Linked DNA regions of Arabidopsis thaliana. The protein of the gene in region 1 interacts with the protein of each later gene in a pairwise test. Each region holds a gene or a part of one and is shown in the gene's direction. Other genes may lie near its edges.

What was found. The genes of interacting proteins can lie anywhere in the genome.
Region 2: the proteins of AT3G21690 (region 1) and AT5G07340 interact in a protein complementation assay, tested with the Arabidopsis thaliana proteins (one large-scale study listed by BioGRID).
Region 3: the proteins of AT3G21690 (region 1) and AT1G57540 interact in a protein complementation assay, tested with the Arabidopsis thaliana proteins (one large-scale study listed by BioGRID).

What each region holds. Positions count from the first base shown.
Region 1 is NC_003074.8:7,635,831-7,644,623, forward strand, and holds AT3G21690 (MATE efflux family protein), read left to right. Parts: upstream 1-2,753; 5' UTR 2,754-2,919; coding exon 2,920-3,240; intron 3,241-3,364; coding exon 3,365-3,996; intron 3,997-4,963; coding exon 4,964-5,020; intron 5,021-5,242; coding exon 5,243-5,481; intron 5,482-5,575; coding exon 5,576-5,694; intron 5,695-5,787; coding exon 5,788-5,874; intron 5,875-5,965; coding exon 5,966-6,031; 3' UTR 6,032-6,559; downstream 6,560-8,793. Other genes in the region: SGP2 (Ras-related small GTP-binding family protein), read left to right, coding at 8,751-8,793.
Region 2 is NC_003076.8:2,314,027-2,320,149, forward strand, and holds AT5G07340 (Calreticulin family protein), read left to right. Parts: upstream 1-3,186; 5' UTR 3,187-3,273; coding exon 3,274-3,384; intron 3,385-3,447; coding exon 3,448-3,517; intron 3,518-3,749; coding exon 3,750-4,885; intron 4,886-4,963; coding exon 4,964-5,035; intron 5,036-5,115; coding exon 5,116-5,226; intron 5,227-5,309; coding exon 5,310-5,432; 3' UTR 5,433-5,623; downstream 5,624-6,123. Other genes in the region: AT5G07330 (NFU1 iron-sulfur cluster protein), read left to right, coding at 2,038-2,055, 2,136-2,615; Tudor1 (TUDOR-SN protein 1), read right to left, coding at 5,995-6,017, 6,096-6,123. UniProt on the Arabidopsis thaliana protein: Calcium-binding protein that interacts with newly synthesized monoglucosylated glycoproteins in the endoplasmic reticulum. It may act in assisting protein assembly and/or in the retention within the ER of unassembled protein subunits.
Region 3 is NC_003070.9:21,309,395-21,314,659, reverse strand, and holds AT1G57540 (40S ribosomal protein), read left to right. Parts: upstream 1-3,138; 5' UTR 3,139-3,247; exon of another isoform or gene 3,248-3,438; 5' UTR 3,439-3,444; coding exon 3,445-3,592; intron 3,593-4,018; coding exon 4,019-4,182; 3' UTR 4,183-4,765; downstream 4,766-5,265. Other genes in the region: AT1G57550 (Low temperature and salt responsive protein family), read left to right, coding at 1,851-1,925, 2,036-2,119.

The sequences.
Region 1 (8,793 bases):
GTCTGTCATTTTGTTAAGTTTTTATAATAAAGAAAATATATTGACGTATATGTAATTTTAAAATGGGCCATGCAGCATGATATGCATTACTAAGCGAAGAAACAAAAATAGAGGCCGAAACGCGGAAAAGAGCTGACAAATCGTAAAGAGTGTCTTCCACATGGGATTAGGTCAATTTCACCATAATTTTCATGGCACTTCAGAGCCTATTGCATGTGGTGGATACATATAAGAAAAATAAGTTTATAGTTTTAAAACTAAAATTGATTTAGTCAAAAACGCTTAATAAAAATTTCTTGTCAACACATAAAAAATAAATGCTATAATAGATTGTGTTTTTGGATAGTATGGAAAATCCAACAAAACAAAATTTAGATGATATACGATTGTTTTTTATATCTGTTGGCAATAAATTGAGATGTATAATTGAAGGATTAGGTACCTTTTTCTGAAGAATTCGCCATAATATATACATGCATAATGTCATAAAACATGGAGAAAAATGCCCATAAAAATGTAGATTGATGATTTATGCTATTTCAGTCCGCGTTTTAGTCCATATTTGGGCCTTGCGAGTAATTTCTGCTTTTATTTTCGAGAACTCTGTCTCTGTGTATAGACTATAGAGCCAAGATGGGCTTTATAATAAAAAGTAGATATGTAGAGGGACTTTTTGGAGTAATCGATAATTATGAATTATAATTACAAATTAACAAACCAGAAAGTAGCTTGCATATGCTTCACATTTTAGATTTCCTTCAGTTATCATGGTAAATACTTAAGATGCTACTTGTCCATTCCATAAATGTTCCATGTCCTCGTCCATATCTTACTTAGCAAAGAGTCCAAAATGTGGGATTTTTCTGTCCTTTAAAAACTTAACTCTGTTTTTTATATACCAGAAGTGGGAGACCAAGGCAACAATTGGTAACTAAGTTTCAACTTTTTTGAGTTTTTCTCTCCTGACTGAATGGCTTTTTAAACTTTATAAACTCGTTCTAATTTGTCTTTTCCGTTTAAGGCTTTTTCGTACGTTTTGCAAATAGCTAAACTTTTGAAAGGAAAAAGTAACCTCGCGTTTTTCTCATTTATATTGCACAGAATATAGATACAAGTTGCAGCTATTACTGATAAAACGTAGCTACTTTTTTGGTTGGGTTTATTTGAGCCAAATAACTTCATTAAAAGCTGTAGTACCAAGTTTGGGTCTATCATTTACACTGCTATTGTCTTTGCTATATGACTCGAATCTGATACATTCGATTTCTAAAGATTATATCTAATTTTTAAGCGAATTAAACTTTTGCAAGCTTGGTTTTGATCTCTACTATTCTATTGACTAGAGAAGATGTCATAGTTGGGTGTAGAATAAGGTATTGAACTGACTTGCTTTTATTGATTCATTAACTATGGTATTTATACACAATGATCTCTATCAAGAGATAAACATAAATCCCTAAAATATAGGTTAGAAACTCTATCATCAAAGATATTGTACTAATCCTAATCGGATTACACATATCTCCAATAGAGTTGATATCTATTAACGGCAAAAGGAGCTAAGCTGCCATGATGACCCATGAAGTATATGCCTGCATGCTAATACGCAGAAAAACATTGAATGTGAAAGTGGCAATTATTCGAACACTCAAATTTTTTTATCTTCCTAAAATCGTGCTCGTGAAGATTTTTCAAAACAACCGATATAACCATTGGTGTTTAGTTGTTTACCTTTCTTTTTATTGCATACGATAGCCCATTCTTAGGAATTAAACCATGGGGGCAACTGGCAAGCATTTATAATCATTGATGTTACTTTAATTTTCATTTAATATGAATATTAAACGTAGTAGCTATATCATTGGGTTGGAATTAATGACTGAGAAAGAATGAATGAAAGAGAGAAACGTGTACTCGCAGTAGACCATATAACCATTGGTGAACAATTTTATTTGGAATCGTATCCATAAATATCATTTTTATACTAGTACGCTTGCTTTTACGACTACTATACCTTGTGTGGGCGGACCAACAATTTAAGAAGGGGGTGTGGGTGTAACTGGCCCGGTAAACCATAATTTTGTTTTGGCCATGTACAAAATGAGTTTTTGGCATACGGTGTTTTGTTGTATTTGAAGATCCCACTCAATATCATTTTTTTTTCCCCAATTTGATTAATCATTTGCTTTCTTGAAAGATTATTTTCCTTATAAGGATAAGAATAAACAGTTTCCTTTTTCATGGAACAAATTTTTCATGTTTCAAAGATATTTTCATTTTGTCTGAAGTATCAAAACAGTTTTACATTATTATTTGTCTTTTTCTGTTCAAAAAATTTAAGCAAATTAGTATATAATAAATAAACAGATTTGTGTATAGTATTGAAACCTATATCCATGAGCAAATGTGTGGTATATAAATTAGATAACAATTCTTTTTTGACATCATATAAATTAAATAACATTGAATTTGAAATTAATCACATTTTTAAAATGTGATTGTACGTTATTTATTCTTTAAAATTATGAATACTAATTAACCAATATATGTCATCGAAATAACTCAAAATATTGTAAAGAAAACTATTTGCATTTTACATATAGATATCTTGTAAAGTTAATTACGATATCCATAGAAATGTTATACAATCTTTGACTAAAAACGAAAGAAAGAATTCTAATAATTAATAACCTTTGGTGTTTTTAATGAGAGACGTGGACTCTCTCGGTAGAAATAATACAATGATTAACATACAAATTTGTAACTATCATTAGCCGTCACTCGCCACCCTCGATAGGACCTATATACACTTATACACAACACTAGCCACACACATCCTCAAGCGATAACACCACAAACAAAACAACAAACCAAAAAAAAAAAAAAGAGAGAGAGAGAGAGCAAATCTCCATCATCATCATGGACTCGTCTCCAAACGACGGCGTACACCAACCGCTTCTCCATCCTCAACCATCTCCATCTCCGCCGGAGTCAACCAACGGCGAGCTAGAAACTGTCCTCTCCGACGTAGAAACTCCTCTGTTTCTCCGCCTACGTAAAGCCACCATAATCGAATCAAAGCTTCTCTTTAACCTCGCTGCACCAGCCGTCATCGTCTACATGATTAACTACCTCATGTCCATGTCTACTCAAATCTTCTCCGGCCATCTCGGTAACCTCGAACTCGCCGCCGCTTCTCTTGGTAACACCGGTATTCAAGTCTTCGCTTACGGTCTCATGGTAACAACCAAAAACTCCTCTTCTTGTATATATTTTTTGTATGAATGTTACGTTTTATATCATTTTCGTCTATATGCTATGTTTTTTTTCACATCTTTAAAATTCGAGTTTTTTTCGATGATAGCTAGGCATGGGGAGTGCAGTGGAGACGTTATGTGGTCAAGCGTACGGTGGTAGAAAATACGAGATGCTTGGAGTTTATCTCCAAAGATCAACCGTATTACTAACACTCACCGGCCTCCTCCTTACTTTAATCTACGTTTTCTCCGAACCAATCCTTCTCTTCCTCGGTGAATCTCCCGCAATCGCTTCGGCCGCATCGCTCTTCGTCTACGGTCTTATCCCTCAAATCTTTGCCTACGCAGCGAACTTTCCAATACAAAAATTTCTCCAATCACAAAGCATAGTAGCTCCAAGTGCTTATATCTCAACGGCTACGCTCTTTGTTCACCTTCTTTTAAGTTGGCTCGCGGTTTACAAGCTTGGTATGGGACTTCTTGGTGCGTCGCTTGTGCTTAGCTTGTCGTGGTGGATTATAGTCGTGGCTCAGTTTGTTTATATTGTGACGAGTGAGAGGTGTCGTGAGACGTGGAGAGGTTTTAGTGTTCAAGCTTTCTCGGGTTTGTGGAGTTTCTTTAAACTCTCCGCCGCTTCTGCCGTGATGCTTTGCCTTGAGACTTGGTATTTTCAGATTCTCGTTCTTCTTGCCGGACTTCTCGAGAATCCTGAACTTGCTCTTGATTCACTCTCTATTTGGTAAGTCCTATTTTTAGTCAAACTCAATTTAATTATTTCCTTTAAAATTTATTTTTACTAGTTAATTTCGTTTACTAAATTAATTTCACCTATTGACCATAAAAAATAATAATTTAAGTTTATCTATTCTAGTGTTTTTGCCTCTTTGGTTTCCATTTTACCTATTCTAGTCTAATTTGTCTTCCACATGATATTTTATTTATGTTTTATCATAGGTAGTAGTTATTGGTTTCTACAAGAAAACACTTTTTTATATATCCTGAAACTCCACGTGAATATGTATGATTATAGACTTTTCCATGAATTTTTCTAGTAATGATTCGACAAAACTTTTAGTATTATTATTATTCGATATGAAAAGCATAGAACAAAACTTTTTGTAGGGAGTACAAAGCAAAGTTTGGTTGTAGATACTAGATATGAAAGTTAAGTTAATGGCGAACAAATTTGACACTTCTTCCGCTACAGACAATCTATGGTCACATCACATTTCTTCTTTTCAGTCTTCTCGTTTTGGTTTTCTTTGGAATTTGTTTTTGTCTTCTTCTTAAGCAGTAGAATTTAACTTTAACAATTTCTGTATGACCATATGAAACTATCTCATATGGAATCGAATAAAACATTATTTCTTCGTCCAATCTGCATCTACTTCTTTATTTTGTCGAAGATATTATACAATATTCTTCTAGTACTAATTAGTTTAAGATTTATCTGAGTCGTAAGTACTAGATTTTTTAGGTTTTCCAAAAGTTCTCTTTCCTCTGTTACCAAACAGAAGCAGCCACCAAATTTAGGTAGTTGCCCCAAATCAGTATGGAATTCCCATCTTTATAATATGATATCTTTGATTTTCATGTCAAGTCAAAAGTTACAATTTTAAAATGTTGTAAAAACATTACAAGCAACAATGGTTTCATACTAGCTTTTGATAGTGTACGATATTAAATTATTTGTTTTTGTGTTACAGCATGACGATTTCAGGGTGGGTGTTCATGATATCTGTTGGATTCAATGCAGCGATAAGGTCTGTTTTGTCCCAACTCACCACTTGCATGATCGTTTTCACTAAATTTAAATCATATAAAATAGAAAACGTCTCTATCCAATTTACCTACCCCCATAAAAATATGTGGATTCTTACATTTTACACACTTAAATAATGCTAAATCATACTGAACCATAAGCTCTTTTTCTCCTATTAAATCTGATGAAGTGTGACAAAAATTGTGTTATGATGTTGATACAGTGTAAGAGTGAGCAATGAACTTGGAGCTGGGAACCCTAAATCAGCAGCTTTTTCTGTGATCATCGTTAACATTTATTCGTTAATCACTTGTGTGATCCTAGCCATTGTTATTTTAGCGTGCCGCGATGTTTTAAGCTATGCTTTCACTGAGGGTAAAGAAGTCTCGGACGCTGTTTCTGATCTCTGTCCGCTTCTTGCCGTAACACTTGTCCTTAACGGAATCCAACCTGTCCTCTCTGGTAAACCCTTCTGATCGATACACCGCAATTTCGCAAACCGAATAAGCGAAGATTTTTTTTTTTTTTTTGAACAATTGGGAAAATTTTATTATAGGTGTGGCGGTTGGATGCGGTTGGCAAACGTTTGTGGCGAAGGTTAACGTTGGATGTTACTACATTATTGGAATTCCTCTTGGGGCTCTCTTTGGGTTTTACTTTAACTTCGGTGCCAAGGCAAGATAGTTTTCTTAACTTTCATTTTAATTAGTTACCATTATTCTTGTATTGAATATTAGAATAACAAATTTAAGGCTAATGATGCTATAGGGTATATGGACGGGGATGATCGGTGGTACGGTTATACAAACGTTTATTTTGGCGTGGGTCACGTTTAGAACAGATTGGACAAAAGAAGTAAGTTTGCTAAACTTTAAGCTGCCCTGTAGGCGCTAAGTGTTTACGTAAATATTTTCATTGATTTGATAGTTATTTTAATTTGTTTCAGGTGGAAGAAGCTTCCAAAAGGTTGGACAAATGGAGCAACAAGAAACAAGAAGTTGTTCCTGAATGATGCAGGTTGATGAAAGTTTGGTATCCAAGGAACCGATTAGATTCATCGGTAAACCGATGCAAATGCTCAAAGTAACATGTGAGCTGGTAAAAAAGGATATGGATCAACCTTTTAAACTTCTACAACTCAATTTTAAGTTTTTTGTGTTCTTGTTTAAAATGTTAGAGGTAGGTTATGTATTTTTGTATGCCAAGATTATAATAGTTACTGCGTTATTTTTTATTGATTTATATATATATGCATGTCTTTGATTGGATAGATCTTAGTTATTTTTGTTACTGAGTTTTTCTTTAGTTTAATGATATTTTGTTAGACTGGAATGCAATTAAAGTTTCTCTCTTTCAGTATGATGCATTTTTGTTGTTGTTGAGAATGTGAAGGAAAATAAGAACTGGACTTCCAACAAAATGGGCAGGGTGATCTATGGGCCTAATATATGGGCCTAAGTAAACTGAAATTACTATACATAAAACAAAGTTTTCACATCATAAAATCAGTCCAGCTCATTTGCGTTGAGGACTTGAGGCACAGAGAAAATTTGGAGTTTTTTTTTGTCAAAGGAGAAATTTTGGAGTTGATGATTCGATATCTGACATAGTTATAAATGTGTATTATCTTGCTCTAACTTTGCTTTAGTTAGTGGCAAAATTTTGATGTAAACAAAAGTAAAATAATCGCCTACTTAACGCATCTATGACATTTTAATATAAGCACTATTTTCATTCGTGTTTAATAAAAAATAACGAAAACGATTGTAAGAACTTCTAAATATTCTTATAAACTACTAGACGAGATGTTATATTTGTTCCATAAAGTTAGAGAAAGGAGCGATTAAATTTCCGTTACACTTGATGTAAACACGTTTTTTCGAATAAATTTTACATTTTATTCAAAAAAAAGAAAAAAAAAAAAGTAAAGAAGAAAAATTCTTGATACTTTTTCTTTTCATTATTCTCATTATAAACCATACAACGAAAAAGGATATAAATAGTAAATACTTGGCCAAGCCAATAATGGCCGTCACGTTGTATCTGTGCCATTTTCTGTCTACACATTTAAGTCTTATTTATTCTTTTGTTGGTCCAACAATTAGGCAATCGTTTGTCATTTAAAATAACACAAATGTATCTGTTGCACACAAATGTATCAAAACTCAAACAATTTTCTATGTATACCTAAACTAACGTATATATTGAAGTTTTTGTAAATTTGTATCACGACCTACAATAAATTACTCCTTTTTTACAGTATTAGATCTATATTACTAGATATCAAAGTGTTTCAATTTTCAAGCTTGCTATTTGAGTTTATCTGAATAATCCTAATCTGTTTGTATCTTTCTAGTTTGAATGAAAGAGTTTGGTATACACAAAAAAAAAAAAAAAAATCTAGATATAACAAAATCGTTTGATACTAATTTAATTTGAACTCCATTAGAACGTTGGCCAATGATGGTGAAAGATGTAGTTATATGATTTTGAAAGTCTATTGGAAATCACGACTTTAAGTAAATCATTCAAACTCAGGAAAGTTAGCAGCCATTATACGATAGTGCATTTTGGTTATAATTTTTTTTAAAACAGTTGTCGGAGACATGTCTTTATAAGGCCTCTCTTTTCTTTAACGTGGGTTTTAAATTCACGTGGGTCTCAATAATTAAACCAAAATACCATCATTTGAACCAACAATTTTTAAACCGAATTAAATCAGCAGCACTTGATTCCCCCAATATCATATGATTTGTTTATAACTTACATAATTTGATTATGTCGAGAGAATATTGAACCTTGTTTTCAGTATTTTAAAATTATCGGAAGAAACCCACATTTGTGTGTAATCATCCAAAAACATGGCTCACATGTGGTGGGTACATGAAGACACACATCATCATTGTATGCTTTCTTGCACACATCTGAAAACTAACTCATTACATTTTTATTTTCTTAGTAAAATAATCAAACATGATTTAACTTTAGATAAGTCTTAGATGAATTTAGTTTTATCACTTAAAGTTACAAATCATGAAGATAAGTTCTTCTAAATCAACTTGATTAACACCAAAGTTAAAATTATGAATGATAATTGGTAGTAGTACGGAGATCATGAATTGTGATATAGACCACATCCAAAACCGCATCGCAACAGTGGTGTAACACTACCAAAATCTCTACATATACATATGTATCTACGTATTTTTGTTACTATTTGAACCGTACTGCACTTTATTTCTTACACCGCAAAACGCAGTCACCATTCGGACCCTGAATTTGTCAACAATATCAGACTAAAAAATCTAGAAACTTTGCATACAATGCAAGCACGTAATACATGACTATAATCGATACGTCTTTTTCGTACAAAAAATTCATAGGTCAACTTTAGGCCCCAAAGATGTATGTGGTCATCACATCTCACCAGAAAAGTTCGTTGCAAATTTTTCAAATCCCATCAAAAATAGTAAATTTCAAAATTCATTTAATAAGAGTGTCGTCTCTTCCGAAAAAAGAGGAAGAAACACAGAAAAGCTAAAGCTTCGGGCATTATGTATTGAAATCAAATCTCTCTCTCTTTTTCTTCCGTGGCCAAAATGGATCCAAGCAGCTTCTCTTTGGCCATCTCTTCTTGAAGCTGCTTTCTTCCTCAAATTCTTTTTTTTCCAGATTCTTCTCCTTTCTTCTTCCTTCTTCCTTATTTCGATTTCGAATTTTGAATTTTCTCAATGGCTCAATCGTGTCTTAAAATTGTTCGAATCAACAATCTAA
Region 2 (6,123 bases), on another chromosome or scaffold:
AGGTGGTTTCTGTAGAGGGATGGAATTATTCTTTAATTATTTTTTCGTCGGCATAGTTTTTGCTATATATCTTCCACTTGCTGGAATTATATTAATGTGTTATCTAAAGTTCGCAGCATAAATTATTGTTGTTGTTACTGTTTATCGTTAATACTTTTTCTTGCTTTATTATTAGTAGGGCTACTTTGCTAAATAAAGAAAAAAAAATAGAAGTTTAACTCGTAAAAATGATTAAGTGGTAGTCGTAAATAAGTGATTCATAATGTAAAATTAATATATAGTGTCAAAAAAAAAACATGCTATTTATTTTTGACTTCTGCATGACTATTAGCACACACAAGAATATATATTATATAGAAATGTCGTCATTCCACTAGCTATAATATATACATTTTTGATTTTTTTACTAAATAGATCATATATTTTCGTAAAATACTAATTTTCTAAGGAGCTGATCTAGTTTAGTGGTCATACGAGGACCACTTACCTCATCAGCTCAACCCACTAATATTGAGTTTGTACCAGTTTGACAAAAAAAATACTTAACTTTTCAGAAAATAAAATGGAATTAGTTATTTTCATAATTACATTTTCAGTTAATAAAACTAGGATAACAAAAACTTGAGTTTTCTTTTTCTTCTTCTGAAAGTTATGACCTACGTAGCTAGGTTTTAGTTTACAGTCGTGGTTAACTTAGAGACTCTTTGATCATCAATCAGTTAAGACCAATGCTTCTTTAAGCCATTTAGTTTATTCTTGATGATAAAAGTACGTAACATCATTTTTAAAAAATTGTGGTGAGTGAGTAAAAGTCACGATACAAAGAAAAATATTCATAGTTTGAAAAGAACGTAAAGTAGAGATGAAATGTGAATACGATTATATATATTGTTTACATAGTTAATGTATAGGCCTTTCTTTCTTTATATAGGATTGTAAAGCTCTTTACACCGCTTTATTTATAACAAAAATAGAAATGAGCAAATAATTACGTCGAATAAGCACTAATTCCATTAAAGTGGGAGCTAGTAAGCACCAAGCACACTAGTTCAACTCGTATCAATTTATTGTATTTAAATCAGTAGTTAAAACTTGTTTAATTTCCTCATTGAGAAAGATTTGCCCACTTTAGTTAAGTCTTATCCCAAATAGCACTTTAGTTAAGTCTTTATCCCAAATAACTTGTTTACTTTTACTTTTCTATTAAAATTATGAATAGTACTGAATTCACTATTTAAATAAAGGCACTATGAAATAAAAAGAACTCCATAAAAAATGCATTAATTATTTTATATTTCTTAAATATAGACAAACTTTATAGAATTAATGGCTACAATAAATATTACGTTGAAAATGTCGTTTTAATATTTCTCCATCTTTTTTACATAATATTTATATGAATTTAAATTTGAATGTCGATACAACGATAACACGAAGACGAGAAAATATAACTATTTTCATTAGAATTGACACCAAACATATTTAATCTCTTCATTTTTGTCTTAAAAACAAAAGAACATACTTTCGTGACATAGGTTCATTTAGTACTTGATGGATTTTCGTGCCATTGGTTCATTTACTCGATGCAAGGCACGGTTCCATCGACACAGCAGCAATGTGATTGTCACATGTCGCGTGGTAAGACGAGGGTTGCTAGAGCTTACCAGTAAAAGAAGATACACAAATTTTGGTCTTATCCATTAGGCATACAAATTTAAAATATAATTAATATCTCATATTTTTAATTTTGACAGAACCAATGAAATAAAACACGCGCATTACTGCAGTGAATCCCAATTATAAGGAATCTGATTTGACGTGGATCTTCAAGACACTTCCACGAATTAAACTGCATGTTCTTAAATGCTTACACGTATTACTTCTACAACTCTCTTCTCTACTCCAGATGTCTCCATCTTCCTTTTATATCCGATATCTAAAACGCTCTCAAGTATAGCACAATCCACAACAACAAAAAGTACAAATCTTACTCTTCTTTTCAGCTAGATTTTACTAATCACTCGCCAAGAACAACCAATGGCCGTTCGATCAACCGTAAGTAACCTAAGACGTCGTCGTTTCTCTATGATTCATTTGGTCTTCACGATTTGACTTTTATCATTTTGTGTTTGAAGGGTCACTTGAAAAACGTAGTGCAGAGGTTAAGAACTTACACGAAGGCGACAACCGTACCAAGATCCAAAGCGTATTCTACGGCGGCAACAGAGTATGGTGGCCAGAGAACCGCCACCACAGCGGCAGCAACAAAAGGTGACTTCACACCAGTTTACGTCTCCATAGGATTGATTTCATTGTCAGTAACATTTGGTGTCTACACTGCGTATCTTCATCTACATGAAAACCCTGGCGTACGTGTCAACAAGAAGATGAGAGAGACCGTTCCCGAGATCGAAGATCCAGATAGAGTTCTAAACGAAGCGGACCGGTTCGCTAACAGGTCTTGGTTTAGGAAAATAGCTCACGTTCAAGAGTTTGACAAGCAGGATGTGATCTCTGACCCAATCAGGAAAGACCAGTTTGCTCATAAACCTCGTGCCTTGACGCTTAAGGATGTTGGCGTTGATCCTAAGATATCGGCTGCTGCAGCTCACTAAGTTTTTATGAAGGCTGGTTTATGTGTTTTGTTTTCCATGTTTCTGTCGATAAATAAAACATCTGAAGGAGATCAAAGAGTTTTCAAATGGGTCGGTTAAGGTTTTATCCTGTTTCCTCTTGGATGTATTACAGTGATCAAGCAACTTTTGAGTGTATTTGTGTTGTTTCAACAGCATGTAAATTATCTAATGAAATTTCGGTCGAAGTAATAATACAACTTCGTTTTGCTTCTATTTTCTTCTGGATTAACGATTTTAGTAAAAATACTCATTTGGGAGAAACCAATTTCTTGGGTCTAGGTTTGAATGAGATAAAATGGTTAACTTCCTAACCTTCTAAGAGTGTCCGAGGATTCATTCGCATTCTAATTGGGCCCAGGTCAAGGCCCAGGACCAGGCCCTAGTGGGGTAAAATTTTGCACGCGTCGGTGCTTTGTTTTGGATGACTTGGCGAGAGGTGATAGGGTAGTGTCACGTTGGCGAGCGATATTCATTGGAAGATAACAATCAAAATGACGTTCGTAGGTCTAAGAAATACGAGGACTAAAGAGTAAAGAATATCTCTCTCTCTGATCTACTTAGTACTTACTTAGTAGTTACTTCTCTGTCTTATTTGATTTTGAGTCTCTGTTTTGTCTCTTCTCTTGAGATTGCGATAATGAGAGAACGGATTATTACATTCGTTTCGCTGCTTCTTGTAGCTTTGCTTTCGTTTCCCAGTGTTAGCTACTGTGACGACCAAACGGTGATTGGTCACTTCCTTGAAAAAGTTCCTATTTTAAAGATTTGTTCATCGAATCTCCAGTAACATGGTGTTTTTGTTGTTGTTCAGATCCTGTATGAATCGTTTGACGAGCCTTTTGATGGTCGCTGGGTCGTTTCAGAGAAAGCTGAATACCAAGGTAAAGCCATGTCGTCGTAGTGAATTCGTGTTTTGAATTTTTTGGTTTTCTTTCGTCTGTTGAAGTAAAAACAAGTTAGAATTAGTGTAATGGAAGTTACAATCAAAAGGGGGTCTTAAAGTTTTGGTTTTTATTGGAACAGATTTAGAAATGTTTACTTTTACTATAAGTGGATAAGAAACAGACTTTGTGTGAGCTCTTAAAAGGTTGCTTCTTATTTGAAATCTTTTAGGTGTGTGGAAGCACGAGAAGAGTGAAGGGCATGATGATTATGGACTTCTAGTGAGTGAGAAAGCTAAGAAGTACGGAATAGTTAAAGAGCTTGATGTTGATGAGCCTCTAAACCTTAACGAAGGAACTGTTGTTCTTCAATACGAGGCTCGTTTCCAAGAAGGGCTTGAGTGTGGTGGTGCTTACTTAAAGTATCTTCGTCCTCAAGAAGCTGGATGGGTTCCTCAAGGGTTTGATAATGATTCTCCTTACTCTATCATGTTTGGACCTGATAAGTGTGGTGCTACCAACAAGGTTCATTTCATCTTGAAGCATAAGAATCCCAAGAGTGGCGAGTTTGTTGAGCACCATCTCAAGTTCCCTCCTTCTGTTCCGTTTGACATGCTTTCTCATGTCTACACTGCGGTCTTGAAATCTGATAATGAGGTGAGGATTTTGGTCGATGGTGAGGAGAAGAAGAAGGGTAATTTACTGTCTGCTGAAGACTTTGAGCCTCCGTTGATTCCTTCCAAGACCATCCCTGATCCAGAGGACAAGAAGCCAGAAGACTGGGATGAGAGAGCCAAGATTCCTGATCCTAATGCTGTGAAGCCTGATGACTGGGATGAGGATGCACCCATGGAGATTGAAGATGAGGAAGCTGAGAAACCCGAAGGATGGTTGGATGATGAGCCTGTAGAGGTTGAAGACCCCGAGGCAAGCAAGCCAGAAGATTGGGATGACGAGGAAGATGGTGAGTGGGAGGCTCCTAAGGTTTCCAACACCAAGTGTGAGGCAGCACCCGGATGTGGCGAATGGAAGAGACCGATGAAGAGGAACCCTGCTTACAAGGGCAAATGGAGCTCACCTCTCATAGATAACCCAGCTTACAAGGGAATCTGGAAACCAAGAGACATTCCAAATCCTGATTATTTTGAGCTTGAGAGGCCGAATTTGGAGCCCATTGCTGCCATTGGTATTGAGATATGGACAATGCAAGACGGTATCTTATTTGACAACATCTTGATATCTAAAGACGAGAAGGTTGCTGAAACTTACAGACAAAGCACTTGGAAGCCCAAGTTTGATGTGGAGAAAGAGAAACAAAAGGCAGAGGATGAAGCTGCTGGTGAGGCAGATGGTCTCAAGAGTTACCAGGTATATTGATTTTCGCCACAAATTTGGAATGCTTATACATATCCTTTGTACTTATATTATGTATGTGCATTACTGCAGAAGAAGGTGTTCGACCTCTTGTACAAGGTTGCAGACATTTCTTTCCTTAGTGCGTACAAGTCAAAGATTATGGTAAGTTCTCATTTTCAGACTTTAGAAACATATTGTATAATGAAGAATCTTAAATGAGAATTTGCAATTTTCGTTTGTAGGAACTTATTGAGAAAGCTGAAACACAGCCAAACTTAACCATCGGTGTGCTCATTTCCATCGTGATCGTCTTCCTCTCTCTCTTCTTCAAGCTCATATTTGGTGGTGCAAAGGTAAAAAAAAAACATGTCAGTGAGATGTAATGTTTTGGTTGGCGGGTGTTTGAGTCTTAACGAAATTCTTGGTATGTATGTAGGCTAAGGTAGAAAAGAAGAAACCGGAAACAGCTGCAGAGACCTCGACAAGCGAGGCAAAGACAGAGGAGAAAGCAGAAGCGGTGGCTGCACCACGAAAGAGGCAGACGAGGCGTGAGAGTTAGATAAAAAGAGGATTAGATTTTGATTTTTGGGGCTTTTTGTTTTGATTTATCACCGTATAGACAAACAGTAGTGGACCTGATATTAAGACGATTATTGTAACATGTTTTTTTTGTATGCTTTTAGTTTCACATGAATCTGAATGTGGATCACAACATTTATGAGTTGAAATTTGATAAGTAATGGGTTGTGTACATCACATGCATCAGCATTATCAGTTTATCGTCTTTAGCTCGAGTGTTTACAACAAAATCTTAGCTTCGAGATTTAGACTTCTCTACCAAAGGGTCTTGATAGCCATGGCACGAGACTCGTATGATATACTAACCACAGTTAGGTCTGTTTGCAGAATGGATTCTTTGACAGAGCACGAGCTTCAGCAGCCAGAAGAGCATCATAAAGGTTTGATCGCTCTTCAAAATCTGTGTGTCTAACCACATTTCCAAAACCACGGGCAAGAACGAGCTCAGCACTATTCACCAGCTGGCTGACTGCCAGCAGATGATGCAGTCACTTCATCAGAAAATAAGACCAAAGTTGCTCCAACGACCATATCCTTCCTGCTTAGTCTCTGCTCTTTTTTTGTTCTTTCTAATGTCAGTGTAACATAAATAAGACGGCTTAAGGAATGGAAAGATAAGTTGGACCAGAAAACACACAAAAACTGTAAGCATGGTTCAAACTTCCCCTTAT
Region 3 (5,265 bases), on another chromosome or scaffold:
GTTTTAAGTTGGTGAAGCGTGTACCCGACAGTTTCATGTCCACATAGCTCAACATTGTTGTATTTATTGATTTATGTGGGCGTTTCAATAATCTGTGTAAATCCAAGATATCATTGTCGTAAAAAAAGGCGAGGGTCAGATTTGTATAGCGACACTCCCCGTGAAACAGTTGTGCAATTTTACATGTTTACATAGAATTCCAAGTATTTAAAGACCAACCCTTTGGCCGATATATGTATAATTGTACATAACTAAATTCTATAAAACGTAGACGATAAAATCATAATGTGGATTTTATGCATGTCGTTAAATGGTATGGTGTTATTTAACTTGTTCATATATGTTTTTTTATTAACGAGTTTACTTGATAAATGTTATTCACTTATTTCACGTAATATTACGGTTATTATACAAGTTTAACAATCACATGGAAATATGTACTATTTACGATTTTTTCATCGCATTTTTTGTCAAACAAAAAGGTAGAATTAAGTTATAAAAAAGCCCTACATATCAAAAAGTTATATTGCTGAAGACGAACGAATAGTTGCCATGCTTAACATGCATTGCATTGGAATGGTCAAATAGAGATGCTATGAATATATGAGCTGTCCTCTCAAGTCAATTGTTCAATAACTCGTTATATTATATGTAATTTATAAGCTAATCATCACTGTCCTTTTCGTTTGTCTTTGTCATAAGATTGACAGAACCAATAAAATCTGAGGACGATTAAATTAATATATAAAGAAACTAGAGATTTAATATTTTGAACTGAATAAAAGTTATATAGATTACATGAAGGATCGTTGTCATTATCACTACCACAAAACTTTAACATCATTCACCGACAAATGGAAAACATTAAGCTGTTCACTTAATTAACACGCATCTCATATATTATTTCCCTCGTATATATTAAACTTTATAGATGAGATTTAATTTCTTTCAACTACCTATGCAAAATTTATTTTATTTGATGTTTTGTGACAATTATATTAATCTTTGATAATTAGTTTTGGTTAAACTTTTTTTTTTATTATCCATTTTTGTCAACCACGTAATTAAATTAAAAAAATATATCTTAATAGATTATCTAATATGAAAGAACCGAGTTTACGAAATTTCATTTTTAAATTAGTTTTGACTAATGGGTCTCTAAGTTATTACACCCGACTAAATATGTGGAGTCGATAAGTGATAGCAAGTTAGATTTACTTGTTCTAAGCTAAACTAACAAATATAGATAAGTTAAGTAGATTAAAACTTACATAATTGAATATTTACATGTTTGGAAAAAAAACTTGAGTAAAAGAAAAAAAACTTGATAAAAATCACTAAAAATTATGTTTACACTTGAGTTAAAAGCAAACATTTTATCTACATAAGATGATACTAATACAAACTAATGGCCTATATATATTTGTAATCCATGAAATTTAATTTTATTTTTGTAACAGACATTATGATTGTAACATTTTAATTTCTTTGCCCAAAAACAAAACATTTTATTTTTAAGTTATTCGACTTCTTATTTGTGTTCATCCCATTTTTTTGTTTCCAACCGATGAACAACGGAAGGTTGCGTCAAAACGCAAAGGGTTGTGTTGTTTGTGTTGAAGTGGAGCTCCTTCATTTTAGGAACAAGCAGAGGACGTTACACAATCAAACTCAGTTTCTTCCCTTATTTAACGTAACCACTAATTCTATTTTCTTGTTCTTTTACAAAGTTCATAAATGGAAATGAACACGTAAGAAGAAATAAAACAAAGTTCAAAACTAAGAAACAGAAAAACAAAAAAAAACATAAAAAAACATATAAAAAAAACATAAAATTACAGAAGAAAAAAATGGGTAGCTTCCTTGAGGTTCTTTGTGCAATCTTCATACCTCCTGTTGGTGTGTTCCTCAGATATGGCCTTGGGGTAAATTTTTTTCATTCATAAATCATAAAAATATATGACACATTTGACATTAATGGTCAAAGTAAGATCAAATCTCTTGTTTTTTTGTTTCTTTGTATATGTGTTTGCAGTTGGAGTTTTGGGTCTGTTTGCTTCTAACGTTATTCGCTTTTATCCCCGGACTGATATATGCCATCTACGTTCTCACCAAGTAGGAATAACCAATCAAAAACACTGGATCCTTTTTTTATTTTATAACTTTTTCTTTTTCCAACAATGTTTGCTTTTTTAGATTTTTTATGTTGTATTTAAGGAATCAGTTTTGTAATCTAGCAAACTTTTTGCTATGTTAGATGTATGTAAATTCCAGCAGTTTCCAAATTGCTGTTGTTCTAGTTTGCAGAGGTTATGGATACATTTTACGGATCATAAACAGATTTGGAAGATTGATGATATTATTATATGCGTGATATAAATTTTGAATTGTAGTAATACTACATCTAAAGAGTGATCAAATTATTAGTACCATTAGGAACTATAAAGTTCTGATAGAGATATTACATGGAGTCATCGATACACACAGTTTACTTATGCGTATAACGATAAATATAAACCTGTGTACATACATTTATAATTTTATATAGCTTCTGCAATTCCGATTTGAAGATTGCTTGAATCGAATACCGTGTGGTATAGGCTCCCATGAAGACGTTCCCAATAATCCCTGCATATACAAATTCTTTACCTCAAAGTGGTAAGCAAAAAATGTAAACAAAATCTATTGAAATCGTCCCATCTTACCAAAGAGGATCAATTGGTATAGTCAATGCTCTCCCATAATGAAAAAAATTATGAGCTACTTGGTTACAACAACGATTCGAATGAGAAAAATATTATTTTCTAACCTTAAATATCCAAGATATCGGTGTAAATTCCGATAATAGATGCGTCTATTAATCCATTGTTAATGCTGTCAATTAAGGTTTTTTGCAATCCCCTCTAACTCTCTAAGTGTACCTCGGTGAAACCTCGAATCTACTTTACACTAACTTTTAATTAGTTCGTACTAATTAACGAAAAAAAAACCTTTTAATTAATTCAGAAAGACAGAAACCAACTCCTTGAAAAAACAAATTGTTTTTCCGAGCCACGTGTATCACTTGGATCCGACGATTATTGTGTCCGGCCCATTAAGATAGTTAACACTTATTGGGCTTCCAAATATCAGCTAATTAGACACGTGGATCTGATTCTCTTCTCCGTCTTCTTCCGACAAGCTCGACGGCGACACAGCCAAAGAAACTACGCATCACCGGTAACGACAGAGATTGCTTTTGCTTCTGGTATTTATGTACCAATTCTGCTCTCTTTTTTACTGCTTAGATCTTAACCCATATAGAGTTATTATATCTGTTGCTCGTTTTTGAAGTTGCCCTTATACTGCTCGATGAAATGCCTCAGTGAATATCTTAATCACAAAACCGAATAGTTTCGTTTCTCTTATACTTAAATTAATTTGGTGTTGTTATTACAGAGAGAAATGGCGTTAAGGCAGAAGTTAGGATGGTCAGAAGGAGATCTGATGAGATCAGATGCTAAGCCATGTTCAAGACTGATGAAACAAACAGCTGCCATTTTCACTGTTGGTGGAGCTCTTGGTTTCTGGGTTCTTTGCAGACTTCACTATGGTAAACAAAGTTCTCTCCTTTCTAATCAGTGATTTGCGTTTCCATCAAAAGGTTGTTCTCCATATAGCTATTGAATCCAGTGCTCTGCATAATTGATTGTTAGAAAGATTTCTTGTAGCCTTATGAAAACATACCAATGCGTATTACCATTCTGTTTTCTGTTCTGTAGTATCCGTTTCTTATGAGAAAAATGAATCCAAAAGGAGCTTTGATTGAATAGTTTGATGTGGTGAAAGATTGGATCTTTACACGTTTTGGGAAGCAATACACTTGTTCTTTGATTCCTATTGTCATGAAAAATGATTCTTGGGGTTGGTTTGTTGTTTATGTGGTTTTAAGAGTAAAAGGAACGTAGAATAGAATAGTTGAGTCAATTCTAAGATAGAACGGTTATAAAAGCAAATGTTTTCTTTGGGAAATGTGTAGGTCCAAGGATCACAGTGCCAAGGAGTCTGCGGTGGGCTGGGTGTGGTGCTTTGTCCGTAAGCACATCAACTGCAATGCTTGTCCGTCTCTTCAGCCCTGAATGTGAACCACAAAACATTGCTGCATATGATAACATCAAAACCCCTCAAGCTTCACTCCCTTAAACCCCATCATAATCTGGCTTTACCTATGATGTGTATGGACCTCATCTTCTGTACATTTTCTTGCAGTACATGAATTTAGGTAACTATTTATAATACTACCAAATTCTGTCACTTTTTGTTTCCTTTAGAAATTATGGTGTATTTTTTCATATAGCCTTTAGGTTGATAGAGTTAAGAGTATCATCCTATGCTCCTCTCTCATTTTCGTGTGTGTTTGATTATGAGTGTAGTGTAATTGGCCATTGGTCACACTCTTTTGGGAGAGTGTTTAGCTTTCTAAAGCTTTTGCTGTCGAAGGGAAGACCTTTGGATTTATTTGGAGGGTTGGGTCTCACTATCCCCTCAAACTAGTCATAGGTGGAATATCCACACCGAGGTTGTGACTTCATGGAGATGCCTGCTAGTTAAATATGTGTAGGAATATGTTTGATCACCAACAAACCTAATGCTACCATTTCTCGAGCATAATTAATTAATTAATTATAATCGACATCAATGTGTTTTGAATGTGAGTAAAGAGCTAGGATTTCAGTGATATTGTCATATAGACACAGCATATAAGCCTGTGGTATTATAATGTCATGGAGAACATAACTTAATCAAGTGAATTCTGCAAGCTATGGAGGCCAAAGATCTAGCTTTTTGGAACGGAGGTTGTTTCTTTGCATTTCGAATGAAAACAATAGTTGAAGCAGAACATCCTTAGGTCAATAGTTTGAATCCGGTAGGGTCAGATCTTATTTTCTAAAGCTTGTTTCATTCCATTTTCAGTGTTCTTTGACAAGAGTATTACAACAAAATCGTTATCAAAAGAGAACTCAATAAGAGAAATGCATACATGTCAAGTTTTTTTTTTTTGGTAAAAGGTTAAGTTACGTTACATGCCAAGTTTGTTATAGGGAATGAGTGGAAATGTCAGAGGTTACTTTCACTATACTTGACACCTTATGATGTTTGAACCATTGACTAGGCAGACTACAAAACCAAAAGATCCATCCACATGTGGTTTTTGCACAGTTCTTGGCGCAAAGAAACAACCTCCTGTCTACCAACTGAGCGAAGGTCGAACTGTACTATTGCATT